Linked DNA regions of Yarrowia lipolytica. The protein of the gene in region 2 binds, or shares a complex with, the protein of the main gene of each other region. Links are inferred from orthologs where the notes say so. Each region holds a gene or a part of one and is shown on either strand. Other genes may lie near its edges. The genes, in order: YALI1_F24151g, YALI1_A09626g, YALI1_F05781g and YALI1_D18190g.

What was found.
Region 1: YALI1_A09626g (region 2) and YALI1_F24151g share a complex: the UniProt entries of both Saccharomyces cerevisiae proteins name them as parts of the cleavage and polyadenylation factor (CPF) complex. The link is inferred for Yarrowia lipolytica from reciprocal best matches to the Saccharomyces cerevisiae genes MPE1 and SSU72.
Region 3: YALI1_A09626g (region 2) and YALI1_F05781g share a complex: the UniProt entries of both Saccharomyces cerevisiae proteins name them as parts of the cleavage and polyadenylation factor (CPF) complex. The link is inferred for Yarrowia lipolytica from reciprocal best matches to the Saccharomyces cerevisiae genes MPE1 and PTA1.
Region 4: YALI1_A09626g (region 2) and YALI1_D18190g share a complex: the UniProt entries of both Saccharomyces cerevisiae proteins name them as parts of the cleavage and polyadenylation factor (CPF) complex. The link is inferred for Yarrowia lipolytica from reciprocal best matches to the Saccharomyces cerevisiae genes MPE1 and YTH1.

The regions. Positions count from the first base shown.
Region 1 is NC_090775.1:2,411,855-2,418,689, reverse strand, and holds YALI1_F24151g (uncharacterized protein), read right to left. Parts: upstream 3,533-6,835; coding exon 2,951-3,532; downstream 1-2,950. Other genes in the region: YALI1_F24173g (uncharacterized protein), read right to left, coding at 1-1,378; YALI1_F24171g (uncharacterized protein), read left to right, coding at 1,520-2,851; YALI1_F24130g (uncharacterized protein), read right to left, coding at 3,766-5,682; YALI1_F24126g (mitochondrial 54S ribosomal protein mL54), read left to right, coding at 6,078-6,398; YALI1_F24115g (uncharacterized protein), read right to left, coding at 6,728-6,835. UniProt on the Saccharomyces cerevisiae protein: Component of the cleavage and polyadenylation factor (CPF) complex, which plays a key role in polyadenylation-dependent pre-mRNA 3'-end formation and cooperates with cleavage factors including the CFIA complex and NAB4/CFIB.
Region 2 is NC_090770.1:958,758-966,511, reverse strand, and holds YALI1_A09626g (uncharacterized protein), read left to right. Parts: upstream 1-3,897; coding exon 3,898-5,310; downstream 5,311-7,754. Other genes in the region: YALI1_A09654g (uncharacterized protein), read left to right, coding at 56-98, 241-277, 442-543, 622-656, 829-839, 900-976, 1,136-1,161; YALI1_A09638g (uncharacterized protein), read right to left, coding at 1,632-2,090, 2,571-2,612, 2,663-2,695; YALI1_A09593g (uncharacterized protein), read right to left, coding at 5,838-7,211. UniProt on the Saccharomyces cerevisiae protein: Component of the cleavage and polyadenylation factor (CPF) complex, which plays a key role in polyadenylation-dependent pre-mRNA 3'-end formation and cooperates with cleavage factors including the CFIA complex and NAB4/CFIB.
Region 3 is NC_090775.1:573,475-583,179, reverse strand, and holds YALI1_F05781g (uncharacterized protein), read left to right. Parts: upstream 1-3,736; coding exon 3,737-3,978; intron 3,979-5,059; coding exon 5,060-7,088; downstream 7,089-9,705. Other genes in the region: YALI1_F05814g (uncharacterized protein), read right to left, coding at 604-1,713. UniProt on the Saccharomyces cerevisiae protein: Essential in pre-tRNA processing. Component of the cleavage and polyadenylation factor (CPF) complex, which plays a key role in polyadenylation-dependent pre-mRNA 3'-end formation and cooperates with cleavage factors including the CFIA complex and NAB4/CFIB.
Region 4 is NC_090773.1:1,815,871-1,822,533, forward strand, and holds YALI1_D18190g (uncharacterized protein), read right to left. Parts: upstream 3,142-6,663; coding exon 2,560-3,141; downstream 1-2,559. Other genes in the region: YALI1_D18167g (uncharacterized protein), read right to left, coding at 1-860; YALI1_D18198g (uncharacterized protein), read left to right, coding at 3,945-6,663. UniProt on the Saccharomyces cerevisiae protein: RNA-binding component of the cleavage and polyadenylation factor (CPF) complex, which plays a key role in polyadenylation-dependent pre-mRNA 3'-end formation and cooperates with cleavage factors including the CFIA complex and NAB4/CFIB.

The DNA.
Region 1 (6,835 bases), on a different chromosome or scaffold from region 2:
ACCGGACAAAGGACACAAACGAAAGAAGAGCCTGGTCATGGCGTTGTCTGTCTTCGAGCACCCACTTTCTCAGCTTGGTGTACAGTTCCGTAGCCTCCTGATCCAGTTTCTCTCCTTCCAGCTCCGACCCAGGTCCGGTGTATGGTCGCAGCTTCACCTTTCGGACTCTCATGAGGTCCACGTATTCCTCCTCTCGTCCCTTATGCAAAAGTACAATAGCCTGGCCCTGTCTTCCAGCTCGACCGGCTCGTCCACATCGATGCTGGAAGGTGTCAGCATCAGAAGGAGGATCAAGCTGGACAACAAGATCAACCTCGGGAATATCAAGACCTCTGGCAGCGATATCTGTAGTCATCAAGATGGCTTGCGCTCCAGTCTTTTGGTACTTGTTGAGAATCTTGATTCGAGTAGATGATGGCAGCTTTCCATGAAGACCGTAGATCTCATAGGGTTCTTCCCTGCCCTCGTTGAGATGTGAAAACATTTGCTGGTAGTATGTCACAGCTGCACATGTGGGCAAGTAAACAATGGCCTTTCTGTAGGGGTAGATACTGAGCAAATTGAGAGCGTAGGCCAGCTTCTCGCGAGGCTCCAGAACAACGTAAGAGAGACCCAGCGAAAGCGGGGTCTTCTGTTCCTTCTTACCGCCAACCTTGACGACAATCTTGACGGGATTTCGTAGACCAATTTTGACCAGGTTCTGGATGGCGTCTGTGATTGTAGCAGAGAAAAGTCCTGTTCTTCGCTGTTTGGGGAGAATGTTGATGATGGATGTAATGTCTCGTCCAAAGCCGAGGTCGAGAAGCCGGTCGGCCTCGTCCAGGACCAGAGAGTCAAATGCGGATGTCTTGATTTGGGGAGCACGCAGCAGCTCGAGCAATCGGCCAGGAGTGGCAACAATGATCTGAGGCTTGTCTCTAAGGAAGTTCTTCAGATCCATATGAGATGGAAGATCTCCACCCATGATCAGCTGGCCTCGGATCTTCTTGGGCATGGTGGGGGCGGCCTTTCCCTTCTTCTTCTTCTCCAGGGTGATTTTGTCGCTAGCATCGGCTTCAGGACATCCCATCTCCAGAATGGACTGCAGCACTTCATATGTCTGTCGGGCAAGTTCCCGGGTAGGAGAGACGACCACAGAGTAGACTCGGCCAGAAACAGCCGGTCCTTCCTTCAGCAGATTCAGCATTCGCTGGATCAGAGGAACTAGGAAGGCAATGGTCTTTCCTGAGCCAGTGACTGCCTCGACAATCACGTCCTTGTTTCCTGCAAACATGGGGATGACTGAAGCTTGGACAGGGGTCATATCGGTGAATCCGAACTGCTCCATGGTGTCGATCAGCCATGGCGCAACGGGCAAGTCTTTCCAGTCGGTAGACATTATGTTTTGTGTTGTGTGAGTGTGCTTGGTCTTTTTTTTCTCACCGCCAAATTATTTCCATTAGCCTCGTACTCTGTGCAGCTTACATGCAGGCCGACACTCCCAACTTAGTGATGAAAAATTCCCAGCTCGAATCTTGTCATGGCTCTGATAGCTGCACTAAAACGGCTGATTTCCGCTCCGAAAGCGACACGACAGCTAAAGTTCACGCCACACCAAGTTTCCAGAATGGCCGAGTATCAGAAATGGACTCGAGCGGACCTCATCAATCGCATTTTCGAGCTGGAGGGCAAGGACCCTAGTACCGCCCAGGGAGCCGTGCCAGACCCGCCGGTCAAGGCCTCCAAGGCCAAGCGAAACGAGAGCTACGACATTAGTCGGCACCCCGTTCGAAAAATCGCGATCCGCTTTTCCTATCTCGGCTGGAATTATGGAGGTTTGGCTGTCCAGCATGAAGACACCCCTCTGCCCACTATCGAAGGAACCATTCTGTCTGCCATGCAACGGTGCAGACTGATCCCCGAGTCGGCCAGTCTATTCGATCTCGACTTTAGCAGATGCGGAAGGACAGACCGAGGCGTGTCCGCCTTCTCTCAGGTCATTGCTCTTAAGGTGCGATCCAAGCTGTCTCCCGAGGAGCAGCAGGACGCCGCTAACGACAACAAGGAGCTCAACTACATTCACATTCTAAACCAGCTGCTGCCACCAGATATCCGAATCTACTCTGTGGCTCTCAGACTGCCCGAGGGATTCGACTCCAGATTCTCTTGTGAATACCGGCACTATAGATACTTTTTCCACAAGGGCGATCTGGACATTGATCTAATGAGACAGGCTGCCAAACTGTACCTGGGTGAACACGACTACAGAAACTTCTGCAAGGTGGATGGATCCAAGCAGTTGGCACACCACAACCGAGTCATGTTAGAGGCCGAGATCGAGCAGCTCTCGGACGACATCTACTACTTCAACCTCAAGGGACGAGCCTTCCTGTGGCACCAGGTTCGATGCATGATGGCTATTCTCTTCCTGGTGGGCCAGAAACTCGAGAAACCAAGCGTGATAACCGATCTGCTGAACCCCGAAAAGTATCCTGGACGCCCCGTGTACGACATGGCTCACGATGTTCCTCTGGTTCTTTATGACTGTACATTCAAGGAGCCCATCGAATGGATCACTCCCAACGCCATGCCCCAGGAGCGAATGGAAAACTCCAATTTCAAGCACTGGCACGACGTCATGCTCCAGAGCACCCTCAGTCTAGCTATGATGAAGCACATTGCTGAGCGAACTGGAAGCGAACGGACTTTCCCCCGTGCTGAAGACGGCGACAGCGACAGAGTGGCGGTGGTCAACGGCTCTGGAAGCTTCTCTCGGAAGATCCCCTACGTTCCCATCAGTAAGCGAAAGATGCTTGACACTCCCGATGTGACTAATGAAAAGTGGAGAAAGCGAAAGGAGGCTACACAATAAACCCCATCCATCATCGTCACCATCAACATAATCTAATAATGAAGCATTTTTAAATATATAATTTATACAATAGTGAGATACACGTCCTTCTGGTCCTGTCTAAAAGTAGCCAACAGCATGCATCAGAGGCAGCTTGGGATGCTGCTCCTGCCACGAGTCCATGATACCCATGATTTGTGCGTCGAGGTCTTTGCTGTCAGCTAGACTCCGGGCCAGCTTCAAGATGCCTTGGGCTCCAATCACAGAGTCCTCATGGTTATCACGGATATCCACGTTGATAACATGCACAGGTCGCTGCAACTTTTCCCCCCGGTCCATCAGGTCGTCGCAAACAGCTTCGAAGCACCGCTCCTCGCAGGTGAAGACCACGTCAAAGACGTTCTTGTGTTCCACCCATCGCTCAGGAGCCGTCTTGATCTTTCGATTTCGATCCAACATGGTCAGCAGTCCGTTAGCTGTGTACAATCGCTCGTCTTGTGCACTGAGCTCGTTATAAATATCATCGTATGGCGTTCCGAAGGCGTAGATGTTGGGCTTGTCGTACGCTGGACCTGGCAGTCTGACCGCGCTTCCCGTTCCGTAACTCTCCACGTCGAACCCGGCCTCCTTGAGAACCTTGTGGGCCTCCATTGATCGATTCTGATTTGAGGCACACACGGTGCACATCTTAAGCTCCGTCATGATTGTGGTGATTGTGTGTGTTAGTGTGTGTTCGTGTGAGATCGAAATGAGTGTTCGAAAATATCATGCATGGAGATAATATTCAAAATTAGGTTACAGTACATCCAGGGAACCCAGCACGATACAAGTACATGTACAGGTACGATACAAAGGTCGGGTTATATCTACTCACTCAGTCACTATCATTACAACATCGTCATTAATCTATTTATTCAATACACTAGATAACCTGTCTAGTTGCCGTCAGCCTTGTACTTGATGAAACGCATCAGGTTCTGAGAGGCAGCATCAGCGTCCTCCCGCAAACTGGGGTTCTGCTTCTTGTTAATTTTCTTGGCCATGTGTCGAACCTTGGGCAGCAGAGGCTCCAGTCGCTTCAGGTAGCCCTTGTTGACAAATACGGGCCCATCGTAGGGGTACTTGTCGCCAAAGATGTCAAAGATCTTGTCCACGGCCTGTAGAGCAACCTGGGTTTGGGTCTGCGGAAGAGCCTCCAGAAGCTGGAGAAGGTACTCTCCAACCTTCTCAACCAGGGCAATGGATTCTTGAGAGCCACTCTTGCCGGTAGCCATTGCTAGAAGACCAACCAGAGCAACAGCTCGCTGGTGATAGTCGGCAATCTCGTCGGCAGTGAGAGTCTCCGTGGCCTTGGTGACTCGCTCAATCTGTGCCAGAATGAAGTCGGACTGGGAAACAGTCAGAGAGTTGATCTTGGAGTCCAGAGCAGCTGCTACAGCCCAAAGAACACCAACAGCAGATGTGAGGGAGTCAATAGCAAGCTCGCCCTCGTACTTCTCGAGCATGGGGAACACATTGATCCAGAGCTGCTGGGCGGCTCCCTGCCACTGCTCAGAGTCCTTTGTGGGCTCGTGAGATGCCATAGTCCATGCCAGATTGTTGAGAGCAGCCATGGCTCGCGACTCGAGAGGGGCATAAGTGAGAGCCTTCTCAATGACAGCAGAGGCCTCGTTGAGAAGCAAGTTGATGGTAGAAGTAGCGGCAGTTCCCTCAGCGCCGTTCTTGTCTCCATGGCCAAAGTCAATGTCCTGGGGGATGTCAACCTCCATATCTTCGTCGACGTCCTCGGGCTCCTCGGTCACGCCTGACCAGGTGACCTGTTCGGCAATGTCCGTAATGAGCTCGAGAATGACCTGGAGGGCGTTCACGGTGGAACGGGCCTCAATGGCGTCCATGTCCTTCTTGTCCGTGGCAACCACAGTTCCGTCCTTGGAGCCAGCATCCTGCTTGGCTTGCAGGTCGGCAAATGCAGAGTTAGAGTTGAAAATGATGAGCAGTCGCGACAGAATCTCGGACAGAGAGGCGTCTCGGCCCTTAGAGCCTACTCCCTGGCTCTCGACACAGATGTTGTAGTGCAGACCCCACACAAACACCTGGGCAGCGATGGGTAGAGTGGTATCCTCGAGGTAGATCTTATAGTCGAAAGGAATGGTTTTGTAAAATTCGGGGTTAGACTCGGAAAAGGTGTAGAGATACTCAAAGGCAGCAGAGAGCACAGCAGAGGGGAACTTGGGATTCAACTCAGCCTTGGTCTTTCGCAGCTCCAGAAGAGCAGCCACGGTCTGGACGCCAGCTGGCGAAGAGGCGATGGCGTCGAAAATGTCATCGGAAGTCACGCCCATGTTGGTGAGCAGAGACAGAATGTTTTCGGCAAACTCGCACAGTAGAGTGAATTGATCTCCTTTGGGGATCTGCTGGGAGCCGTTGGCAATGTTCTGGCAGGTGGAAACAATCTTCTCCAGAGAGTCGGATGCAATCTTGATGACGTTCTTTCGGAACATGAACACGGCCACGTCGTAGCCCTCCTCCAGGACAATGTTTCGCAGCAGGCCGTACGACTCCATGACAACCTCCTCGGAAGCGTCAGGAAGCAGCTTGTCGATCACAGTCTGGATGAGCGACTCCTTGAGAAGCATCTGTCGCAGCTTAGGATCCTCGACCATAGCTGTGATCATTCCAATGGCAGTGCACTTGTCTGCGGGCTTGCCGCCGTTGAGCTTTTCTAGCAGAGGCAGAATCTTGGTGGTTCGTGTGTTTTCATCCTTGCGGTCGTCCTTGGCGGCCTGGGACGCCTTTCGGGCGATGGGGTTGTCTCGCTTGGTGTGCTTGGCTTTTCGCTTGATTTTTGCCATTGTGTTTCGTGGTTTTGTGTGTTCTTAAGGATGTCTATGAAGTTCTTTGATTTCTCACTCTGCACCAACTTCACAATTTTTTAAACTCGTGCGTCTCTAAGGTGCTTATTCAGCGATGGAGTGTAAGAGGAATATGGGTGAGTATTACGATATGTTTTTTTGTGTTTGTTTTTGTTTTTTGGTGAGAAACTATTCCAAAACACGTCGGAAAAACCACTCGCGGGTATTTGTGTTTCTTGCAGCCCTTCATATATCCATTTTAGCCACTTCTTTATTGCCGGCTACCACAAGTAGTGCTTCCCTCATATCCCTAACCCTCAGCATGGTCCTCGTCAACTGAAAAACTTAGCATATCGAAAACGACAAAAACGTCACTACACACAACTACACACAACATGCTTCGACTCCTGACCAGATCGCGGGCCACCCCCCTCCGTGTGATCTCGCGTGCATACTCCACCCCCTCGCAGCCCAAGGTGCCCTCCAGCGTCGCCGCAGGAACCGTTCTCAAGGGTTGCAACGTGCGAAAGAACGGCCAGGACCCCGTGGCCCTGGAGGACTCAGAATACCCCCAGTGGCTGTGGGACATTCTTGATCCCGCGGCCCAGAAAGCCAAGCTTGCTGCCGACCCCGTGCGAGCGGCCCGAAAGGCCCAGAAGGCTCGAGCCAAGGCCATTATGCAGGAGAACAACTTCGTCTCCAAGATGAACAAATAATCAGATCCGGCATAAGTCTGCCCAGTCTCATGTAAATATGATGTATATATGTTTTTTGGTTGGTTGGTGAAAGAAGAGTGTAGGGTTGTGGAGGCTGGTAGCGAGACGAGATAGGCACCTACATAAACAGTATGTTTTGAATACAACTTGTATATATATCATAGAGGACGGACATGAGCTCTATGGCTTCAGATATCTAACTGCTGCATCTGTTTTGTGGATCATCTACCCCAGATCACTACATCAGATTCATACCCCTTGTCAACTCACCACGTCCTCGGATCATGGGTAGTCCACTCAGTTAACATATCAATTGTCTATATGCACAATTACTCCTTTCCATCCTTGGGGAGAGGACCGCCCTTAGGAATCTCAACTTTCTGGGCGTTCGCCAGAGCAGCTTTTCGAGCCTCTATGCTCTCAGCAATCTCAGGATC
Region 2 (7,754 bases):
AGTCTGACTTTTTGATTGCTCTCGCGACATTTCCCATATCAATTACTAACATTAGGACAGAAGATACTGAGATACCTTATCCAAACACAGTCCTACGTGTGATTACACGCTAGCAACACAATGGACGATGACCGGTACCATGGGCTCGTGGCCTATCCGTTGACCTCGACAGAGGTCGATGTATGGACCTAATACCCGGTACACGGCTGCCAAGTGTTCAGCACCGTAGCCATAACGCAGCCGACTGACTCCGACTGTTCCAACTACAAACCAAATGGTAAGTACATCCTGCTATTTGCACACCCATCATATGATGATTACTACTTTAAGTTGGAATTACCGACTGAATGTACTCTTTTCCATGTTAGATAACAAGTTGCTGCTTTACTGATCTGTGAACAGAAATGAAGTCTATCCCTTCAACCACATTACTAACTCCAGGTATGTTTCACGCTCTCATTATTATTTGCAACATGATGAACCATAGCACTGGGCACCGAAAAATAATGAGTGACAAGCTTAAAGAGGGCCTAGAAAACCCTCGTTCACTGACAGAACAATAGCAAATTATTGTGTGTCGGGTGTGCTTTCGAGTTGTTATCACACATGTACTAACCTCAGTTAATACATTCTTCGTTCCAACCCAATTCCTAAACGTGAGTATTTACAGACGTTTCGCTCAGTCCGTCCACCTTATATGATGATTCCCTAGATGACGAGTCAGAATGGGGCTTCCCCTTGACGATACAAACTTTTAATACCATTCATGCCTTCTGAAATGATGGTCTCTTTGAAGATCGTATCAATGCATGAGCTCAACTAACCCAGGTTTATTCCTCGTAGTCATCAGACGACAATGCCTACAACACCCTTAGAATCGGTTAGAATGATGATTTCAGAAAAATGACAAGCATATGTCTGACTCTCAAGTGGAGAAAAATTTTCTTACGTCTGACTAACCGTGATCAACAAATTGGTGAGTATTATTAACTTTGCGACAATTGGATGATGATTTACCACAATCACGACGGTCTACTGTGCCCCGAAAGGGCCTTGATGATAATCTGCCTGTGACTAGGCGTGGAGCTGATATTCTTAGTTATTTGTTCCGTCGTTTGAAATATACTAACCCCAGAGAGTGATGAGTTCGTTACGCGCTGAGACTGGAGATATATATCATAACGCTCATTGAAGTGCAGAACTACTTTGATACGATGTAGTTTGCACAATACAGATGTCCCGTCTACTGAACACTATTACTGTAATTAGTAGTTACTTTTACAAGGTACTCACCAATACGTATTTTTCATACAAGGAGTTGTTCTGCGAGCGTCATACAAACACCTGAAGTACTTGTACTCGTACAGTAGAGCGCAAATATCCAACATGAACTATCTCATGTCTAATTCACGGACTGTACGGGTACATGACACAACGAATAACACCAATATGTACATTACTACGAGTACGATACATACAACGGCACTTCATCATGGTGTTTTTATCAACAGTCATATCCCTATAGCTTACACAGCAGGTTATACAGGGTACTTGTGGGATGAATCCCACGTTCTATTAGTTTACATTTTAACTGTTCTCTCCACCATTTCACCCACACAACCGTTACCTAATTAGACGGTCTCCTCAAAGGCTGACTCGATGGGCTTCTCGAGCAGGGCAGCATGGCCAAGGATGAGGAAACCAGAAGAGCCAACAATCCAAAGCACAGTGCTGATAGGAGAGGCGAAGAATCCAAGGGGAATGGCGACAATCATGAGACCAGTGTAAAGCTGGGAGGAAGTAAGAGTCGTGAAGCCAAGGTTGAGGTCAGATCCTCCAAGAAACGAAATTCCGTACAGACCAAGGAAAACAAAACCGATAACAAACAGCAGCAGCCAGTTGGTGAGGAGAGAATAGAGAGAAAGGAGACCGAAAATGATGGCATAGTTGGTGCTGAAGTATCCCAGGTTGAAGTTGATTCGAGCTTGAGCTTCGCCCCAGGTCGGGGGCTTGGAAATTCGTCGGAAATCGAAGAAGTCGGTGGGGGACTTGAGATTGGCAAATCGGTTCTGGAGATTCGCGCCCTCAGTCTGTGTTAGTCCAAAGCTCAGAAAGCGCAGATCCAGAGAATTCCCTTCGCCTCCATATGCTCGCGGGTGATGGTACCTCAGAGTACTAGAGGCACACCAATGTTTTCAATAACGTGAGACACGTAGGGGTCGCTATCATCGCGCTGGCTCAAGGACGTGTTCGATGGTCGCTCACAGTCGCGCACCCTCTAGACTTCTTCACGTCACTGAGGATTCTCAGGTTTAGCGCCATATGCTTAAGTGCGTCACATTCTGCTTACAACAAAGAGTCGAGCACGGGATGACCATCTTCGTCTCACAGTCCACACAGATTTGGGCAAGCCTCATCACGGTGGATTACGGTCGCGTTGTGAGACAAATTTCAACAGCATTGAACGTACATCAATAACGCTTCCGTTTATTCTCAATACCATCTCTTTTTGAGACTTCGCGATAGTCTCGTATTAATTTCACCATGCCCATCTCCTTGATGATACTCACTCTTAGTCGCTCGAGGTTGAACCGTTCAGACAGGCCAGACAGCTGTAGTTAGTAAAAGTTGGGATGCGAAAACGCAGGGGTCTCATACTTACTGAGCTGGATCCCATAGATGTGATAGCGTCCATTGTTGTTGTTGTTGTTTTCGGTGAACACCAAAGAGCCGGTTCAGTATCAACGAATTTGTGGGAACAGTGTTTTTTTATGCATCCCACACGATAGCCTACGTGTCCGTGTTTGGGTTAGGGTTACGTTTCCGGTATGTGAGTCACGTGATGGACAAACACAACTCTTGCAAGTACAGTACTGTACTTGTACGCGTGCACAGGACATACTGTACGATACCTATTTTGTAGTCTCAGGGGCGATGTATGTCAGGCTGTGAGATTCTCTGTAGAAGTGGCAAAATCTGCATTATCTTCATGACCACCGTGCTAAAAGACAGAAAAATTATGCGACCGCTGCTTTAGACCACGTTCCAATTACTGTACTCGTACAAGTAGAAGTACATACATACTGTACAAGTACATACTACATACTATACTCGTACTTATAAGTACAGTGTAGAATGGCTCTTGTCCAAGCCTCTGGGACGTCCCACTTAATGCTGCTGCTATACAGTATGTATTGTACAATACAAGAACAAAATGATCTTCAATAACTTGTACTTTTTTTTGGTTTTTTATACTTGTACTGTGCGATAGTTGTACGATAGCTACAAGTGTACCAAAGTTGCTACTAAATACTGTACTTCGCGTGCATGAATGGACTGCACGTGGTATGGGATGACTAATATGTTAGTGTTCTTAATATCGGTGCCATCTTCATGGGATTGTAAGCTAAGGGCGTGCCCAGAGAGGTCACTGAAGGGGTAATTCGGAATTATTCTACAAATTTCGTTATAATAGCACAATCATTTATCCCATAAATTTGGTTTGGGTACGGGTTACCCTGTCGTAAACGTCGGCATAATAAATAACTGTACGTTCAAGTACTGTGGCACAACGATAAGAAGAACTTCGTATCGAGCGATAGGAGCCATGGTAACAGATTATGTAGTATACCGATGAGGTGCCATATCGTAGCTCTTCAACATCCTAAAGCCCAAAGCTCTTAAAGCCTCACCTAGTACTTGTTGTTTGAACTTCGGTACATGTACTGGCTCGAATGTCAAAAACACTGTGATGCCTTAAAACCTGTATTTACGCCACCTGCAGTGTTACATAATCAACGACACTTTTCATTATACTTTTAGAGAGCTTGAAGAAGTGCACACCACACCAGTCATCCAACACAACTACTAATCAATTTATTACCTCTCCATCGCAGCATGTCATTTGTATACTACAAATTCAAGTCGCAGAAGGAGCCGTCCAAGGTCGTATTTGACGGCACATCCATCTCTGTGTTTGATCTGAAGCGTGAAATTATCACTTCTAACAAGCTGGACAAATCTGCGGATCAGTTTGATCTAGCTATTGTCAATCCCGATACGAAGGATGAATACAGAGACGACAACGAGCTGATTGCCAGATCTTCTTCCGTACTGGCACGACGACTGCCCTCTCGACCAGGCAAGGGCGAGGCCGCTAGGTACGTCAACGGAGCGCCTCCAGTCACACGCTACAGACGAGACGATCAAGAAGTAGTGCAACCAACATCAGCAACACCAGGATCTACTGGCACTGGAGGAGCCGAAGATGATCTCATCAATGCTATGTTTGCTGCTCAGGGAGAACAGTGGAAGGAAACACAGAAGCAAATGGCCTACCAAACCCCTGTCTACAACCGACCCTCTTCTTCTGGAAAGCCTCTTTCTGCCAACTCCAACAACCCCCAGGCAGCAGCTGCTCAGGCCCAGTATGGAGATACTCCGCCGGAAGGATACATGTGCCATAAGTGCGGTAAGAAGGACCATTTCATTTGGAACTGCCCCACCAACAACGATCCCAACTGGGAGGGAATGCGAATGCGGCGAACCACCGGTATTCCCAAGTCATTTCTCAAGACTATTGCTAAGCCCAACCTCAACGAGGACGATCTTGATGGTAAGTCTGCTGTCTTGATCAATGAGGATGGCGAATATGTGGTGCAGGTAGCAGATCAGAAGTCATGGGAAAAGCAAAAGGCTCGTGCTCGACATGCAGTTGAAGATACCAAGGCTAAACGAAAGGCTGATATCGATCCCGAACTGGTATGCCCTCTAAGCAAGAAACTGTTTGACCACCCGGTCACAACTCCTTGCTGCAAGACCACGTACTCAGAAGATGCCATTCAACAGGCACTGTTGGATGGTGACTTTGTTTGCCCCAAGTGTGGTGCTGAGGAAATTCTGTTGGACCAGCTTCACCCCGACAAGGAAATGGAGAAGAGAGTGAAAGAGCATATTAAGAAAGAGCAAAAGAAGGAAGAGCCCGATGCAAAGCGAACCAAAACCGAGGATGGTTCTGCTGTTTCCCAGGCTGGTTCCTCGGCTCCTCCCAATGCACCAACAGGACCCGCAGGAATGCCCCAGATGCCTTTCATCCCTCCACAGATGATGCCATTCTTCATGAAGCAGATGGAGCAGATGCGAAAGATGGGTATGCCTGTGCCACCAATGCCCAATATGCCCATGGGTGGTGCTTCTGGCGGCCAGACGTTTGTGGCTAACCCCAATGGAGTCACCAATGGCCAGTTCATGGACAAGGGTGCGAGACGACAGCAGATGAACCAGAAGAGAAGATACGATGACCGTCGATGATCTTCAAAACAGCATTGTTTTGTATATTGCATGTAATTTATATGGAGTTTTGGGTTATTCTAGTCAAGGAACCCTTACTTGTTGTAGTGTGTATCAATTATGTGTGGATTGCGATGTTGGTGGGCAAGGGAGGTGGCCTGTGGCCGAGATATAAATATAATATAATCGTGTGCGTGTTTGTTGTGCGTATTTCCTAGTGAACACTAGGGAGCCAGTTGGCTTAGTATGTACGTCAAATGGGATGCCTCCTACAGTGATACCCGCGTCGGTGTGTCAGGAGTTCATACGACCCAATGACCTCGTAATGCGGATATTTCGTATACAGTTGACATACGATACGAATACATACCCGTCCTATACACCATCGGTACGTTCTTGTAACTGTACCATACAGTATGTACTCGTATAACTATGAATACAATTGCAGTGCACCGGTACTTCTTAGCTTCTCCGAACTACAAGTCAATCAATTGTCAAAAATCCCTCACTCGGGGTTGTCTATAATCTATAATACTTCTATAACTTGTTTACTGCTTCTTACCGTCGTTGAATTCGATGACGGCGTACTTGCCAGACCAGCACCAAGACAGAGGGTTGGAGTTGCCCTGCTCGACCCACTCCTTCTCGAGCTGCTTATCCTGACCAGGCTTGAGGCCAACAACAACATCTGCCTTGCAAGTTCGGAAAGACAGAATATGAACATCGTGGACTCCAAGGGGACCGAGTGCGGTGTGGAAAGACGTGTCTCGAGGCCACTCAGCATCACAAGTGAGCTTTCGGTAGTTGAGATCACCCTTGAGGATAACCAGAGCGGAATCCTTGATGTCCTCCCAGACCTGGGAGCCACCATCGATACCCTGAGGATAGATATCCCAGAAGAAGTGGGGGGTGGTCCAGAAGGCTGAGGTTCTGACAGACAGAGAGCCATCATCAAGGTATCCCTGAAGCTTAGAGACAAAGTAGTCAATCTGCTCTCGGCCTTCGGGGAAGAAGGAGGAGTCCTTGAGGTAGTTGATGGTCTTCACAAGATCGATGGGAAGAACATCAGAAACGAACCAGGGGATATTCTTAGGGTGGAGAATGACGTTCTTGGCAAGCTTCGAGTCAAGCAGGAAGAGGACAAGAGACAGGTCGGCATAAAGCTCAAAGCCGGCGTTATCGAGAATAATGTCTACTCGAGAGCCATCGTTCTGCTTAGAGTCAGCGTACAGAACGTCCCAAGCCTTCTCAATGTGGTTGACGAGAATCTTCTCCTCGTTCTTCTTTCGGACATCAGCTCCCTGGAGGTTCTTGATTTCCTCAAGAGACATGGTTGTCAGCAGAGAAAGATCAGTAGCGTTACCCCAGAGAGAGATATCAGAGAACTCCTTGAAGAGCTCCTTGAGGGTGGCCTCGTCAGAGACGCCGTTAAGCTGCTCAGCAAGGGCCTTGTACCGCGTAGCGAGCTCGGAGACACCAGCAGAAGAGGCCTTGAAAGCATCCTCCTTCTGACTGCTGAAGATGTCGTAAGTCTTCCAGTTCTTGGTCTGATCAAAGTAGACCTGGAGCTCTCGGTAGAGGTAGCACTCAACAAAGACCCATCCGCCCTGAAGCCAGGAAGTAGGGTTCTCCTTAAGCAGACGGTTGTAAACGGGGATGTCGTCGGCAACGTTGGGAAGCTCCTTCAGGGGCTTGTCGTGCTCAACATCGTGCTTGAGAGCGGTGATTTGCTCGAGGACCTTCTTGAGCTCATCTCGCTTCTCTCCCTCGGGGGTCTCGGCAATGGTCTTGTGAACATCGTCAATGACACCAGTGAGGATGTGAGGCCATCGATCCCGAGAAGAGGTGTATGCAAAGGAGTTCTTGTCGTTGTTCAGGTAGACCTGAGGGTGCTTGAAATCGGTAGTGGAGACAGTAGACATTTTTTTGTTTCTGTTTAGAGTCAATTGAGCAGTGAGGGTGGGCGGGAGTTGCTCTTTTATATGTGTCGTTTTGGTTACACAGCGCTATAGACCGCACACAGTTTATCCTGATTAACGTTACCTGCGTTGTTGGAAAGGGAACCCTATGACGAAATCTGACGTTGGAGGTGCACGTTGTTTTTGGGTTGACATGAAGACGTTTGGGACGTGTAGGAAGTGAGAGGTGCAACGTGGTAAACAGACAAGATGACACGGACTGGAGTGTTCTTAACAGTAAACCATAGGTACAGTAATCATGAACGTGCCATTTTATTCCCGAAGCGTCACTGACACAGTTAGGGCTTTGTGGGGGGGTTGCATCTGTTGTTTCTAGCACTTGTTGGGCACACCTCAACGAACCGAGGGATTATAAACGTAGACATTTCTGTTAGTTATTGGTATCCAATTGAACGCGTGAACCTGCTCAGTTCCATGGTGCAAAGCAAACCTTGTTATTGGTACAACCGCGGCCACTATTTCACTCACTAACCAACTTCCAGGATT
Region 3 (9,705 bases), on a different chromosome or scaffold from region 2:
CTACAAGAGTATTTAAAAGGTTCAAAAGTTCCGTTTAATCAGTGTACGAATTTTCAATGCTCCAGGGTGAGTTTTGGCGGAGGGTGGAGATACTGGGTATGTTCCGAGTGGAAGTTGTAGTGTTTCTAGTTTGTGCAAATATTGATGTTGGTTTTGGTGTAGTAGGCCAGTTGCTCACCTCTGCTGGTGAACGTTAGATTTTTTGGTGCTTTGGAGTGATTTTTGGTGCTTTTGTAAGGAGATTATAGATCCAGAGATAGCTCTGAACTTGTCTTGAAAAACGGTCTCTAATGCAACTTTCAAATCTCTAATCAGTGCAATTTTGAAGGAGTTATGTAGATATCTACACCAATCTCTTCGTAACAGCGAGTCACTATACTCTAGGGTCCAAAGTTATAAAGAGTGCTGGATTATTAAAAGCGAGTTCAAAATAATGGTCCGTGGGGTCCAGTACCACCAGAAAAAAAATTCAACTCTACAACCTCTCTATCCACACATTCATTCATTAGTATAGTTAAGACAAGGTATAAGCAGAAGGGTTAGAGTGAGAGCTGTTAACGAAATGGGGCGGCATTCAAAGGTTCCATAATGTTCTGGGTCAATTCACATTTTCTCATCACATTCAAAACCTGTGTTGAGAAAGGTGACGTCGCTTTCGGGAGAAGGCATGGCCGGGGAGTCCACCGAGCTCTCGTCATCTCTGTTTGTAGTGGTCGAGAAAGGTCTCAGTCTGTTCAAGAAAACTGTCTTGAGTTTCGATTCGGAGGGCTGCACGTGACCGTCTTTCAGCGCGCTCAGGAGATAATTGCTCTGCATCTCGTCGTCATGGACTGCGGTGGCCCAGATGGAAGACAAGGGCAAAGACAGAACGACCATGAGATAGGCCACTCCGGAGAGAATCCACGAGTTCTTTTCGGGAAGAGCGTAGTTGACAATGATGAGAATAGAAGGCACGACGAGTGACTGTGTCGACATGATGACCAGCACCTTTGTGTATCCCAGGGGTTTTTTGCCCAGGGTTTTTCTGACTCTGATGGCGGTGACGAGTTTGGCCAGGAGCACGAGAGAAGCAAAGGAAATTGAGCAGGCAAAGGATACGTCGGAGGCGAGCCGTGTCCAGCCCATACTTGGCAAGTCACGTGTCGGATGAGTCAGCACGATACACGAGACGATGGTGTGAGTGGTCCAGAAGACAAAGACGACGAGGGACAGCAAGATGAGCCCCACGGTAACGTAGATTCGAGACTTGAGCCAGGCATGAAAAACTGATCGAGTTTGAACCGCGAGAGAAAGTTGCACGGACATGATCATCAGCATCATAAACACGTTGGTGGCCACAGACACACTGATGTCGTTGGAAACATTGGACCGTGGGTCCACAATGTAGGCGACCATCATGAGCATCGAGGCAAAGGGTCCTAGCAGGAAGCGGAAGTACAGAGCCGCGTGAATAATGAGCATGATAAGCGACATTTGGTTGGCCAAAAAGAGGATCTTGGTGCGGTTTTTTTTGCTGATCAGATGCATGGCAATGAGGGTCAGGACTGCTGCTCCTACTCTGACTCCAAACAGAATGGCCAGACGCAGTCTGTTTTGATATAGTTGTTCGAGAGCACCGAGAGGCATTTGACCGAGCACCAGCTCGGTTTCCGGGACCGTTATTGATGCCACCAGCGTGGCAATGTCAAAGTCTGGCCGAGGGGGTAGTTGCATTGTGGTTGGTGGTGGGTAAGTTGGTAGTTGACCAGGGTATCATGTTCAGGAGGCTCGTTTATATACGTTTGTGCATGCGTTTATGTCACTTGTTTGTGCCCCCGTTTCCTGCTCTCTCCATTTCCCATTGACATCGCCAAATAGAGAAGACGAGTGCGACCTTGTGCATACTACATGCGCTTGGGTTAGGGATAGAGAGATTGATCTGGTGGGATCAGGGGAGATCAGGGGAGATCAGGGGGGGCTCTGAGTGGGATTTTCGGGTGGTATCACGTTATTAGAGTAATTATGGCCGGTCACGAAGGATATTGATTGACATGATTGTGTGTGGTCTAAAAAATACCAGAAATGATGATTGTATGCCAGAGTTAATGGATGGGAAGGTTCTCTTTTTTGGTGTGGCCAGAACAGGGACAGAAATGGAGGTATGGGTAAAACATGCATTTTTGAAGATGGTAGCTGGGTATTGGAGGTGAGTGGAGATTGGTTCTCTGAGGGAGGTATTTCCCCTTTTTGTGCTATTCGTGTCAGTGTTGCACTTTTCATCAGCTCCCATAATTTCTCCCATACTGTGGCGTGTTTACTGGAACTGATACTGTACATGCCTCAAGTACAAGTACAGTATATACTGTACACTCGTATATATTGTTACGTCTGCGGGGTCTGTTAGCGAAATGTGGGTCGTTTGATTGGCTGAAAATTGGAAATTAATTTTAATATCCGCGATATATTATTGTTCTGTCAAAATTTGGTCTGTTTCTGGACACTTCTTAGTGGACTGGAAGGACCCTTTGATCTCTTGTTGGCAGGCAGTGTATGTTCGATCTTAGCTCGTCAGAATGACGTTAAAAAGGGGAAGAAAAAAAAAGAAAAAAAGTGAAATTTTTGGGGCTTACAGAGTGTGTTTTTTTAAAGTGGAACTTATGGGGAAAATACATAGCGGGTTTTATGATAAATCATAGTTGATTGAATCTATGCTACAGTATTCCCACTTCCTTCGCTCAGCAGCTGGACCTGAGAAATATTGGGTGTGGTCTTCGCCTTCTAACTCACGTGACCTCTGGAGTTGGTTTCCTGAGTTCATTGTGATCATTTTGATACCATAAAGTCCAGTTTCTGTTTTTTTTCCAGCTCCTTTTTTGTCCGTTACCATTCCCACATACTGCGAGTACATCTTGTCTGGTTGGTACACCACCCTACATACTGTAGTCGCATTCTGCTTCAACGATCCAACATAGCTATTGGCGGGAGTGAAGCAAAGACGCTAATGAGTACTGTATTGGTAGCTTCCGGGAAGCATTTCGAACACAATCTTTCTTTTCCACTTCCCTTTTTTCTTGTATATTCTCGTTCTAAGATGCTACAACTACTTGTAGTCGTCCTCGTGCTTTAATTTTCTTCAGTCTAAGTACACTGTGTACACTACATCCTATATAAAATATAAAACATAAAAAGAGTACATACCGTCGAAATTATACTTGCACTCTGATCACTCCAATTGTGGTAATTTTTGGTCTAATAGAAATCTGAAAATACCATTGAGATCAGCTTGGAATTTCTAATACAGTACAAGTGTATAAAGCTCTTCAGAGTGACGCTGCCAGTATTGACCATTCTGACCATCCAGAGTTCGTACAATATGCTCTCTTCAATTAACTCTTGTAATCTTCATGTAGAACACCCAGCTTTATTTCCCCAGAGTGTCTTCGATTTTGGCCAAATTGACGCCCAAAACATCACATTCCTTCAAAATCCCATGATAAACATCCTTCAATTCTCCGTTTCATCTCTCTCCTCGCCAATCCCATTCTTGGTCCCTCCCCCCGTTTCACCTCACACCCATGAAATACAGTCCAGATAAAGTTTGCCAGTCCCAACTCAACTTTCTCCCGCCCACTGCACACTGTCTTTGACACCACACACAAGACAGTAATTGTACCAATCGTTTGTCAATCGTTTGCCAATCGTTTTTCGATCGTTTTTCGATCCTTTTGCAACCGTTTGTCAACCGTGTTCGATCACCATGTCATTAACAGAACAGCTGGCGAGTCTTGGCCAGGTCGCAGACATGGCCGCCAAGGACGCCGCGCTATACGAGCAGTATGTGCCGTCTCTACTGGAGCTGGCTTCTCGTCCCGAGAAGGAGCTGCAACAGTGGCTGGCGGACTTTCTGCTTGATGCGCTGGCGTCGGTATTGGCGCTGGAGAAACGACGCGAGCTGGCGCTCAAGGCGCTGACGGTGGTGGACAAGTTGCTGAATGGAGAGGTGAGTACTATGTGACTGTAGGGACTGGACAAGATCAAGTGACCCTGACCTGCCTGAGGTTGCCCTCAGCATTTTTTAAGTCACATGACTGTTCTTGTGACAACGACGCAAACCGCAATTGTCAACTGTAATGGCCGTTGTGTCTAGTTTATGGCGTTGTACTATCTCTGAGTTGGACGTTGATCCGACAGACGACCCACTGCGTGATCGACTCAACGTTTAGCTTGCGGGGTTTGTTTTCTCGACAACGTGGACTGATTCAACGACACCAGTATCGACACAGATCCAGACGTCACACTTTTCCACACGTGACTCTTATCCATTATTGTAGAACTTCGGCGACCGTGTTGGTGGCCCCCCAGTATGCTCCTGGAGTCATCATCGACTGATTGCATCTTTCTGGGTCCACCATCCCAATGCTGTCAAGGACAAGAACATGTGTTTGGGACAAAAATGACATAGCAACTAGACGGAGAGACACGCATCAGGTCATGTGACGTGGCAGGGGAGGTTTTTGGCCGTTTTGCGTTCCCCACTGACAGACGGTTGACGATCTAGCCTAGCGCATCGCAGTCTTTCGCTATAGAAAATGTCTGTCTACTTAGTCAGTGGAACCGTCTTTGCATCACTGACAATGCTTCATTAGCTATATATGCGAATTGAAGCGTTTCAGAAGTGCCAACAGATCCAGTGTTTCTCTCCAATTTTCGGACAGGCGTGCCTCCTACTGCTTGACTCCTGTGGATTCTGGTCAATTCTGGCTGGACATGTAGCTCTGGTTGTCTATTTCAGTTGTTTCTGCCTCCAGAGCAACTATGGATATTGTCCCTCTGACTGCACCGTTTTTGTTACTGCTGTCTAGGATTGATGTATGTCTTCTAGACATATGTCTTATCTAGAGAGGAGTTGCTGTCGAGACTGATGTTGTCTAGAGATATGGTGCTGTCCAGAGACATTACTATTCTAGAGACATCAACTCCCGATTGTCCGCTCAAACTCTGGTATTCGTTGTATTACGTCCTACTGTTGTCCGCTTAGTCCTCGGTCCTCGGGCCTTTGCTTTCGTTTCCCACTAACCCAGCCCAAAACCCCTATTCTCCTTTCCGCCCTCATCTACCCCCTGGTCTTCTCCGCGGTCTCCCTCAACCCGAAACTCTCCTCCGAATGGTCCACTCTGACCTCCCTCAAAGAGCGGATCACGTCCATCTGGAGCAACGACCCTTCACCCTCGGTCGAAATAGCATGCATCAAATTTGCCCAGCAGCTCGTGCTCGTCCAGTCACGGGGCCAATCAGGTCCTGCTGACCCGCGTCTGGCCGCCAGATCAAAGCCGTCAGCCGAGGCCAACATGAGCATGGTGCCGCCTAACCACCCGCTCATCCACAGATCACTCGAGGCCGAGGGCCAGGGTAGTCTGGACCGCCTCCTAGGCAACCTCACTGGTGACGACTTGTCACATGACAACCAGAAAATCGCAGAACCCATTTTCACAGCAACCGTGTTTGCTCTGGCCCCCATTCTCAAACAAAGACCCGAGTACGGCAACAGAATTCTGCAAACGGTGTTGGCGGTGGACCCGGTGGCTATGGAGACGAAATTCACTTCCAAACTCGCCGTTCGCTTCTGCGAAAAGTCGCTCAAAATGCTGGTTACCCACTGCTTACGTAACAAGATCCACGTGCAGCTGCGACACAGAATGGAACGGTTTCTGGCCGAGGTGGGCCGAAAACGACCGGCCCCAGTCGACGATCACGTGACCAAGCGCCAGAAGACGGAGGAGCCGACCACCAATGCATCTACACCTACTCCTGTATCCATGAGCACCACCATGCCCCCCAATGCAGACTCATATAGCGCTCTGTTCACTCTGATTCCTGCCAACGACCCGTTGGTGGCTTTCGACGCCCGGACGTTACCCCAGCAACTGGCGCTTCAAATCGCGCTCACCGGTTTGCTGAGCGTAGACGAAGCGGTTCTTAGAAGTCGAGTTGGAGTGGTGAAGCAAAGATGGGACAATTGGCAACAACAAGAAAAGGCCAAGGAAGAGGCCAAGAAGTCCAGATCTGAGTCACGTGATATCCAGAACAGACGAAGCGAGTCGCGAGACTACCGGTCCGGGTCCCGTGAAGACGACGACGACGAGAGGGACGACTCCCGATCTCGCGGACGGGCTCAGTCGCACAACACCGGTTCCCGCTCTCGATCCCGCGACGTCTCCATGGAATCACGCGACTCTCCTGTTTCACGTGATTCCTCGCTCGACTCCCGAGTTTCTTCCGACTATTCACAGACCGAAACCGACTCAGCAGTCACTTTCCAACTGCCACCCCCCGAGCCCCTTTCAGAGTCTGAAAAGCTTACGGCCGGAACCGAAATCGTGTCGCGGTTTTTGACACAAAAGGACGTAGCGGTGGCAACAGCCAAGTCGCTGGATATCCAGAAGAATGCCATTTCCAAGCTGGCTATCAACGAATGGACCGGCGGTTCGTGGATGGTGATTTTGAGTCGATTGTTGAGCCGTGGTCTTGCTTATGACCCCGAAACCGAGCCTGCCGACTCTCTCAAGGTCCAACTTTCCACTCACATTCGAAACCAGCTGTTGAACATGGCCACTACGGCGTTTACAGCGAATTTCGAGGACGTCATGACCTGGCTCAACGAAGAATGGTACTCGGAGCTGATCCGGTACGGTAAAGTTACTCCAGCCACGTCTGTCTACTACGAGTATGCTTCCCGTATCATGGACACTCTTGTTCAGACCATTGATCCCGACAACTGGAAGTATTTCATCAGACTGGTGGGCGAGCTTCCCGAGCTCGATTACGGCCTGGTTAGTAAGCTCAAGCATCTTCTGATTGACCCTGATCGGTCGGTTATTGGTGTTCGGTCGCTCAAGTATCTTATCATGCTGCGTCCTCCTACCCGAGACTACTGTCTCGATGTCATTGAGGAGGTTTACCAGGAGAATGAGAGTCTGAGAGGCGGTTTCAAGCAGGTTCTGGGCAAGTATAGACCGTTGGTTGTTGAAGGAGTTGAGAGGAAGATGTTGGAGGTGAAGAAGGAGGAGGCTTCTGAGGAGCCCAAAGCACAGGTGAAGCAGGAGCAATAGATAATGAAGAGTTATGAACTTGTAGAATGTATTAGAGGAGCTGTAGTGGAAAGATGGGGAGTTATGAACAATACTGACAAAGAGACAGATGAATCCAAAGAAGATCTCCAGCGACAGATAGCGGTAATATGTCGGCGACACACGATTATTCTCTCCAAGTAGGGTCTTTAAACATATTGTAATATGGATTTGGCAAGATGGAGCCAGGTGATAGATACTACTGCAAACAACTCGCTTAGGCCAACCCACTGCAAGTTTCCGTTTTGAAAACTCTCCTCTCCAAGGTCGTCACGAGTGTAAGCAGGTCGTCTTAGCCCCGTCTGCCTGAGGGTTTCCACCAATATTTAGCCAGAGGAGATGTGAAAGAAACAAGAACCATTAATCAAAACCCCACCACTATCTACACGTTGCCCGCCACTCTTGTTACCGGGTCGACTGGCTTAACAGCAGCCCGAATGTCAAATACGCCCCTAAGGCAGATGCAGATGCCCCCAATTCAGGTCATACCGTCATTGGCACTGCTTGAGAAGAGTATGCCAACGATCAAGAGGTACCTGGTCAATGGCAGACTTGTGATTGAATGACTGGGCGAGACTAAGAGTGAAAATGAGCTTGAAAATGTCTTCAAGAAACTTTCTACGGTTATGGAATTGTCACTGTCCGAAAAAGACTGGAATACTATTACTCGACAAGAGACTGTGGCTCTAGGAAACGTGGTTTTCAACTACGTTGGAGCCAAGAAGTTTGCTGAACTAGTGTCGATGGATTTATTGAGGAAAATCTCTTTTGTAGTCACTTGGATTAACCAACTTGACTACGAGAATCTCAAAATTTCGAACCGAGTGACTGGTGAGGGTCATTGATACATGGTGTGGATTGTTACCTGGTTTCCCTGGCTGATGCTAGAACGACGGCAAACGCTATCTTTTGTCCGTGTCATCAAGTTCTGCTCCCAGTTCAAAGCAAGATTGCGGTTGGAGACAAGGTGATACGCAGAAACAGCTCTATACAGCCTGCAACTTCGACGGTGAATGGCTTAGCAGGAGTGATTGCTGTTCGCAGCTGAGCTAAAGCTCGCACGTCTACTCGGAGCAGACCTGTCTGGAAACTACTAGCTGGGTTTCTGATATGTATATATATATTGTTGAGTTTGATTAGCAGAAGAAAGTCTCTGATTGGGCCAGTATTTTTTAAACGTTTCAATTGAGAAGTTACACCGGTCTACCGTCTATTATTGATGGAAGTATTCTGTCAACGAGAAGACAACATAAAGGACGCTCCTATTCAGCTGAAAATGTTCGTTTTCAAAGTCAGATTTTTTGTCATGGGACCTAATTCTATGAATGAAGAATCATGGACTTCAAATACCAATGTCTTTTCATTATTGTGCCATACTATGGCCTCCAAAAACGCCTTCAAATGTTCCATATATTTACTTTTATTAAACTCAAAATCTTCCACTTTCGCGTTTTTTGATAACAATTCTCCAAAAAATCACCAAAATGGCCATGAAAATGCTCCATCGGGATTTGAGCCGAAGCAAATCGACTCTACTGAGTCTCCTAGCGCTATTTTCCTATTAATTAGCGCGAGCCCAAATTTCTCGATGGCGTTGATTTTTGTTCTTCGATTTTAAGGTATACAGTTGAAAAACTACAAGTAGTTGTCTTTGTTCAGATGCAGGTCCGTTCAACTCCTCCTTGGAGTGGTGATAATCGGGTGAACAATAGACAGACCACTGAACCAAGAAGGACCAAATCAGAAAGCCAAATCAAAAGACCAAATCGCGTTGATAGTTCTCAAAACTGATAATAACAAAGCCAGATATCTTTTTCCCACTACACTACAGTACATACTTAGAAGAGACATGATAGGATCTTGCCCGTACGACCTCTTTTCCCTCAACTTCACTCTCGTCATCAAGTCAATCAATCAATTACACCAAACAATACAAACTAGAAATAATAGCTGTTGCTATCAGCTCACTATCTGGATCGGATAATATCATCCCCACATCTAGACTCGTAGATTCGGGAGTCTGCATATCTGGATCGATATCGTGGGTGGCGGGAGTTGCGGAAGTTGCGGGAGTCACGGGAGTCACCAGAGCCTTATGAATTACTGTAGTCACACGCGCAACGTGAGCCACGTGAGCCACGTGAGTGGCTAGCCAAAGTCCCATTCGGAGTCGAGACGAGAGTCATATCTAGACCCCGAGTCGTATTAGTCATAGGCGTGGCTCACTGATTGGGCACGTTACAAGTTGTTAGAGCGTCGGGAGTCGTGTTGAAGGGAGTCACGGGGTCTGGACTGGTGTCTCGAGTTGGAGTTGAAAATTTCCGAATCGAGCTGTCGTCTGTCTCTAGAATCATATCTGTCAGAAAGTTTCAGGTCGTTCTTGTGGATGTACTTGGAGAAGACATCCCAGTGGTGCATGTTAGTCGGGTGATATGAAGAATGGTTCCTGTCAGTATCGATTTCAGAATGGCCAGCACTAATATCATGACTGGCCCCATCGCTGCGAACAAAATTGTTCTTGTTAGCAGATTTGCCTTTGAAGAGACCATGATTATCGGCAATGTCTGAGTGCGAATCTTTCTCGATTGAAAGATTGTCT
Region 4 (6,663 bases), on a different chromosome or scaffold from region 2:
TCGAGCGTCTTGACATGGCGCAAGCCAAATGTCTCGGCAAACTCCCGAACTCGGGAACTGGGGTAGGTGCTGAAGGTGGGGGTGTTGAGATTGAGACCGTGGAGGTAGATTCCGGCCTCCTCCGCAGAATAAGCAAGGACATGCTCTTCGAATTCATCATCACAGAGTTCCGCAACGGCAGTAGCGTTAAGCTCGTGCAGTGTAAGGGCCAGGTCTCTCAGGGTGAGATCCTTTGCCTTGAGATGGCGCTTGAGGTGCAAGAGACCAGCAAACGAATGACTTCGACTGCCTCCCTTGTCCCGACTAGCCGACGACATGTTCACTTCGGAGAGATCCTGAGAAGAAGCCTGGTCAAGGGGCTCGACTTCTGGTGACTCGGATTTGTCGCCTGTGTTCACCGGCCCCGTAGAATGCTTACTGCACACTAACAGGGTACCGTCTTCAAGACCAGAGAAGAACAAAATGCAGCCGTTTTCCTTCTGTGTCACTTCAAAGGGACCCCGCACGTTGCTCTCGATCCAGTCCCACTTTGTGGTAGCCACCTCTCCAATGTTGAAGAACTTATCGTATCCTCTCACCACAATCTTGTTGTCTCGGGTGAACAGCCCACGTGATTGGGAGGCGAGGACAATCTTGGGTTTACCATAGTCCCACTCGTTGAATTTCCATCCTGTGATTTCTCGTCCCTGTTCATCCGCCTCCATCTTTCCACTGTTGGACCAGATCACATAATTTCGCTTTCGGGCCTTGCCCTTGCCGGTCTGTTGGGAGGCAGCTTCGAGTCGGTCCAGGAGCTCGAGCTGAACGGCCTCGGCAAATTCTTCCGAGTCAATTTTCGAAAACGGAAGTTTCACTGTCATTTTTTCTGTCTAGTGATTGGACTGGACTGGGATGCAGATGTCCCTGAATATATACATGTACAGTATATATATTTTCTGGTGGCGTGCATACCCCTAACCTTGATCTTAGGCCAAAGCATAACTCTGATATGACACAACCGGCGGACAATACAGGGGAGCCAACGGAGCGATTATACCAGCTAGAGACGTGATTTTTGCACAGTACAGATTTGAGGACCCATTGATGATATGGTACAATTTCTGCTTCTTTTGGAGTCTATTTGACCTTGTTTCAAACGGCGTTGCCATCATAGGGGATATGCAGTGATGACTCAATTCGACGCTGGTGTGATCATTGTTGCGTTCTCAGGTGATCGAAGCGGGTAAAAAGGAGGTAGAAGAGCTAGAATGAGCTGTGGAGCTTGAAAGATGACTCTTTGGCTCTGGTTTTGGTTGCTCAGGACTTTGAAGTGGTGCCTTGGGCGATTCAGAACTGCTCCAATGAACTGACCAAGATCGGATGTAGAGTCAGCATAGCGTGTGTAAAGCACTCTGAGACTCTTGTACTTGAGACATTTGACTTGCTGGCTGTTGTATGAGACCCCTTCGTGTGAGTACAGTAGAGTCCACGACAAGAGAAGAGTATACGAGACACATGACTAACTCGAGATTGAACATAGACGAAGACTTGCTTGCTTGTCATTTGGTTCGTCGACGTTTCGTCTAGTTCAAGTCCTTGTTGTGGTCTTGTGGTAGTGAATCATGGCTAACAGATCAAGAAATCATATCAATCGTTCCATGTCTTATCCAGACTCGAGGTTGGTTCAGTTTGTTCTCATAAAGATCGTAGAAGATGTAATTCGGATAGGGATCGTGAGTATGATTCGTGTGTGTCGTGTTTGAGTCTTTGAGCCATCGGGGAGTTGAAAGAAGGTTTGGTTGTTTATGTTTTTTTTTTTTTGTTTTTTTTTTTTCTTTCCATAATTCATCATTGATCAGAGACGTCAGCGTGTATGTTTAGCGTGAGCAGACCTCACGAGTACGTCATATGTACCAGCCATCGTAATAATGCTCCTAGAGTAAAAAACAACCTCGGCACTCATTCCTCTCCGCACATCCGCCTCAGAGGAATGAGCGACGAAGTTGTTTTGTTGTTTTTTTCCGCGTTTTTTCGGATCAAAACCATGGCAACGCAGTTGAAATGAAACAAGGCAACTTGCCGGAGTGGTTAACGGGACAGATTCGAACCATCGTACTATCTGTTGGGCTTTGCCCGCGCAGGTTCGAATCCTGCAGTTGTCGAGCTGTTGGATAACAGACGATTCTTTTTTTATGGATCAAGACAAACCGGCATCATTTCTTTTCGTGTCAATTGGTTGGGCTCATGACAGTCAGATTCGCCATTGAACATGGTGAAGGATTGTCTTCTGCACCTCAAGAATTGTCTCTGCGCCCTCAAGGATTGTCTTCTGCACCTTCAAAGTGATGATCACGAAAAATGCGATTATATATAATGGAATATCCCCATCTGTCATTGATATTGGACCTGCGTGGCATGTTAGGGCATTCGAACACTGCTCTACCCCGTTTACCTTGCGTGCCAGCTCAGTATTCAGCATGAGCACGTCTACAGCTTGAACACGCCTACACTACGTCTCTTATTGTGATAAATATGCTATTGTTTGTATATATGTTTATGGACTTGAGTTGAGTTTCGATCTTATTGTAATGCTTCCTCCTTGGTCTCCTGTTTGGTCTCGTCCTTGGCCTTGTCCTTGGGATTGGGCTTGATGATCATGTAGTCGTAGATGCCGACAAACTTGGGATGTGCAAACTCGCATACCCGTCCCTTTGGACAGAAGCCCGTCATGTACAGCTCGCAGGGCATGCGTCTGATGTGTTTTCTTGAGCACTCGGGTCCCATCTTACAGAAGCCCTTTTCGTAGTTGAAGCACACGGGGATCTTGGAAGCGGGATCAATGTGAAGGTACTGGCAGTCTGGTGACTGTGTGCAAAAGCCGTTCTTGACATAGAACTGGCACTCGGGCATCTTTTGGAGATTGTACTCGTGCAAAAACTCGCAGTTGAGGCCCTTCTTGCACAGGCCTCGTAGCCAATGTTTGCACACAATCTTGTTGAGAAATGTGGGAGCCAGATGCTTGTCAGGACAAGAGTTGCCTCGAGGACATCCGTCAAACTGAAGGAACCCTCGACATAATGGCCGGTTGGGGTCTAGGCCGAATTGGTACTCTCGTTCGAGATATGGCGTGAACTTGAATCGAGAGGGCGTTTCAAACTTCATTTTGATCGCAAACAAACGAGCAGTCGAGCTGTGGTTGTGATGATGTGATGGTTGTGCGGTCTTGTGGTGGTGTCGGCGCGTGGTGACACTATCTGAGGGCGTCTAGTTAGATGAAGCTGTGTGCAAGTGCGTTTGTGAAGTGTGTGGGTGGATGACAACACCGAAAATGTAAGGACAGAGAGTCGTGGTGTTTAACAGGCTCGTCACGGGCGGCGTAGGTTGGTCAGTGGCGTTTAGTGATCGCGAACACAAGTTATTTCAACATACCAAACGAAAGTTTCACTATGCATGATTACATAACCAAAAGAAAAGGCCTGTTTGCAAACATTGATGGGAATCGAACCCACGTTGCCATCAGCACCATTCTTCAACAAATCCTCAACTAATGTAGTTAACTAATACTAGTATATGTTCCCTCCACTTGAGGAACTACTAGAATCATGATACGGGGGAAAAAGCTGATCTATACTCATAAAATACTTACCTTGGTTCCTTTTATCAAGTCAACCCATCTCTAACACTTTCGTATCACCCAGGATCATCACACTTACACCCGACGATCATGTAATCTACCCCAACACAAGCACTATGACTCAGAATAGTACCAAAATCGAAAAATCTACTTTCATCATCTGTTATAACAAGAAGAAACCGCCACACATTCAAATTCCCTTATAAATCTATCCACAAACACGTTCTCCATTTTGCATCCTGCACAACCTCCCTACAGTATGTACAGTACCGAAACCCTAATCATACCAACTACATCTCGACACGAATCACACTCCCCTACTCCTTAACAAATGAGCATGACGTACGCCTACTCGTCGCCAACGCATATCCGGACGTCAGTAGTACCGTTAAACTGCACGCTGGACGAGTTCCACAGTCACGTGACCCAGCTCAAGTCTGTGGGCCACGTGAAGCCGCGGCGGCCCGAAACGCCAACCTTTTACAGCGCCGACTCGCTGCTGCGGTTTGAGTATCACGTGACGCGCCAGGAGGATCTGCTCAAGCGCCATTTCGACGATCTGGAGATATGGAAGCGAACGCTGGTGGTGGTTGCAGTTACCAACAGTCTCAGTGGAGTTTCTGCTGACAGTCTTCAGGCGCTGCGAAAAGCCCACCCTAATGCGCTGGTGTACAGAATCATCAGTCTGAACACAGATGGAGGATTGGAGGATTCCACAGAGGATAAGATTGTGACCACTGCGACAGATACATTGAGTGACATTCTGGAGGAAATTGGAGGCAATGTTTTACAGCAGCTTGCCACGTTGGAGATGTCGTACTTGCCTGTTGGATTGAAGAGTCCCAATTTCAAGCTGGGAACTCTGAGTGAGGCCGTCAAGGTAAAGGGACATTCCAGTGACCGAAGAAGTGTCTCATTGACTCAAGATTTCACTCTGAAGGATGAACGACCTGGTCAAGTGTCCCATACAAAGACCAAGTCTGTAAACCCGGAGGTTGTTAACAAGGGACGGCATGCGAAGCTGCGAGGACATCTGTTTTTGTTGGCGGGGCAGCCCGCACGTGCTCTGAAGGAGTTCACGGATTCCATCCACATCTTGAAATCTGCTGGCGACTATCTATGGCTTGGCTCTGCCACTGAAGGCGCCGCCATTTCAATGACCCAGCTTGACTCCGCAGGAGAATCTTTCTCTATTCCATCTGACATTGTTGAAATGGTAAAAAGCAGTTTCAAACGGGGGACCCCGCCTCTCGTTGAGATAATGCCTTCGATTACTGAGCAGGTTTTGCATTTCTACTCGCTTTCTCAGTCGTCGCAGGATGATGCCGTCCCCCAAGTTGTCTACTGTGAGACCATTATACGATTCATTCGGTATCTTGTGGACCAGACCAAAACCCATGATGGCCTAATTCCCCCCATTGCAGTTGGAACATGGGGAAACCGACTTTATTCCACAAATCTCTCGAATTTGGGCGTTTCAGATCAATTCAAACTGCTGGGTTCATTGGCAGATTCCTATGAGCAGGTTGGAATGGGTCGTAAGCGATCATTCATTGTCTACCAGATGGTTGAGCAGGTGCTCCCCAAACTGCGAAACGACTCCACCGAATCAATTACCTCGGCGATTTCGTTTTTGGACTCTCTAGTGTGCAATTACGGTAACAAGAAGCTGTCTCCATCGGGGCAAGGATGGAACGAGCTTAGAACTCGTGTCTTGCAGCTCTGTGCACAGACATGCGCCACCCTTCCTGACTGGGAGGGTGTTGCTCGATACAACAGTCTGTTGCTCAGTACTACTGCGGACACTCTCCATCGGCACGATCAGATGCAGGCGTATTTGGCTGTTAAGAAGGCGCATGATATTTCCAAGATACATGTCGACTACTGGGACTTGAACTTGGTGCGGTCCGCATCTATTGGTCACATGCTCTATCCTCCTGTCAAATTTGGTCGTGATGAGCGGCTTACCAGTGGTTCTACAGAAGAGAAGGGCATCCTATACACTCCCTTTTCTTACTCCACCACCTCGGCTACAGTTTCCCCCCTCGTTAACAACGAGGAGTGTGAGTTCGTGATTCGTCTGCAGAATCCCTACTTGTTCCAGGTACACATCTCAGAGCTGTTCTTGCTTAGTGATATGGTCACCCTCTCGCGCCCTCTGACCAACATCGTCTTAGCTCCCAATTCTGTGTCAGAGCTCATTCTTGTGTCCCCTGTCGTTGCAAAGGAGAAGACCGACGAGATCATCACTTGCAAGCTCACGTCTGTTCGAGCTTCTGTGCTTGGCTGCTCAGCCAACCAGGAGTACGAGATCAGCGAAAGTGGTAGTTCGTTCACTTTGATTCCTCCTCAACCTGTTTTGAGTGTTACAGATCTGAGTCTCACAGATGGGTGGCTGCTATTGCTGGAAGGTCAGACTCTGGAGTGTAACATCACACTCCACAACATTTCCTCTCTCGTCGAGTGCACGTCTCTGAACGTCAACTTCAGCGATTCTACGTTCGAGCCTCTCCGACAGGCCATCTCAGAGGCGCGCGACTTGCCAGAGTCGGAAATCTACGAACTGGAGTACTTTTTGGAAAAACGCCGACCCCTCAAGTGGCTCCAGGAGGATGACAAGGTGGTGATTCCCCCTAGCAAAAGCTTTACTCTGGCTCTCCAGATCCACGGAAAGCGAGGCATGACTGATGCAATTGTCAGGGCCCAGTACGGATGTGGATCTCCTTACAGAGAGCTGTCGATCCCCATTAAGGTAACTGTCAACGCCTCTGTTGAGTTGGTTTCTTATGACGTGATTCCACTCACGGAGAAGAGCAAGCTTGAGTTTTTGCCCGATATGGACATTTCTGAGTCACTGACCGACTATTGTCTGATCGTGATTGATCTGCGAAACTCATGGATCCACCCTCTCAAGATTGAGCTGAAGACAAAGGAGAACAATCCTACTCTTGTTATTGGACCTGGACGAGTCAGACGGTTCATCTTGCCGCTGAAGCGAATCTCATTGTCTCGCGATGAAACCTTGAAGCCCATCCCGAACTTGACTAATC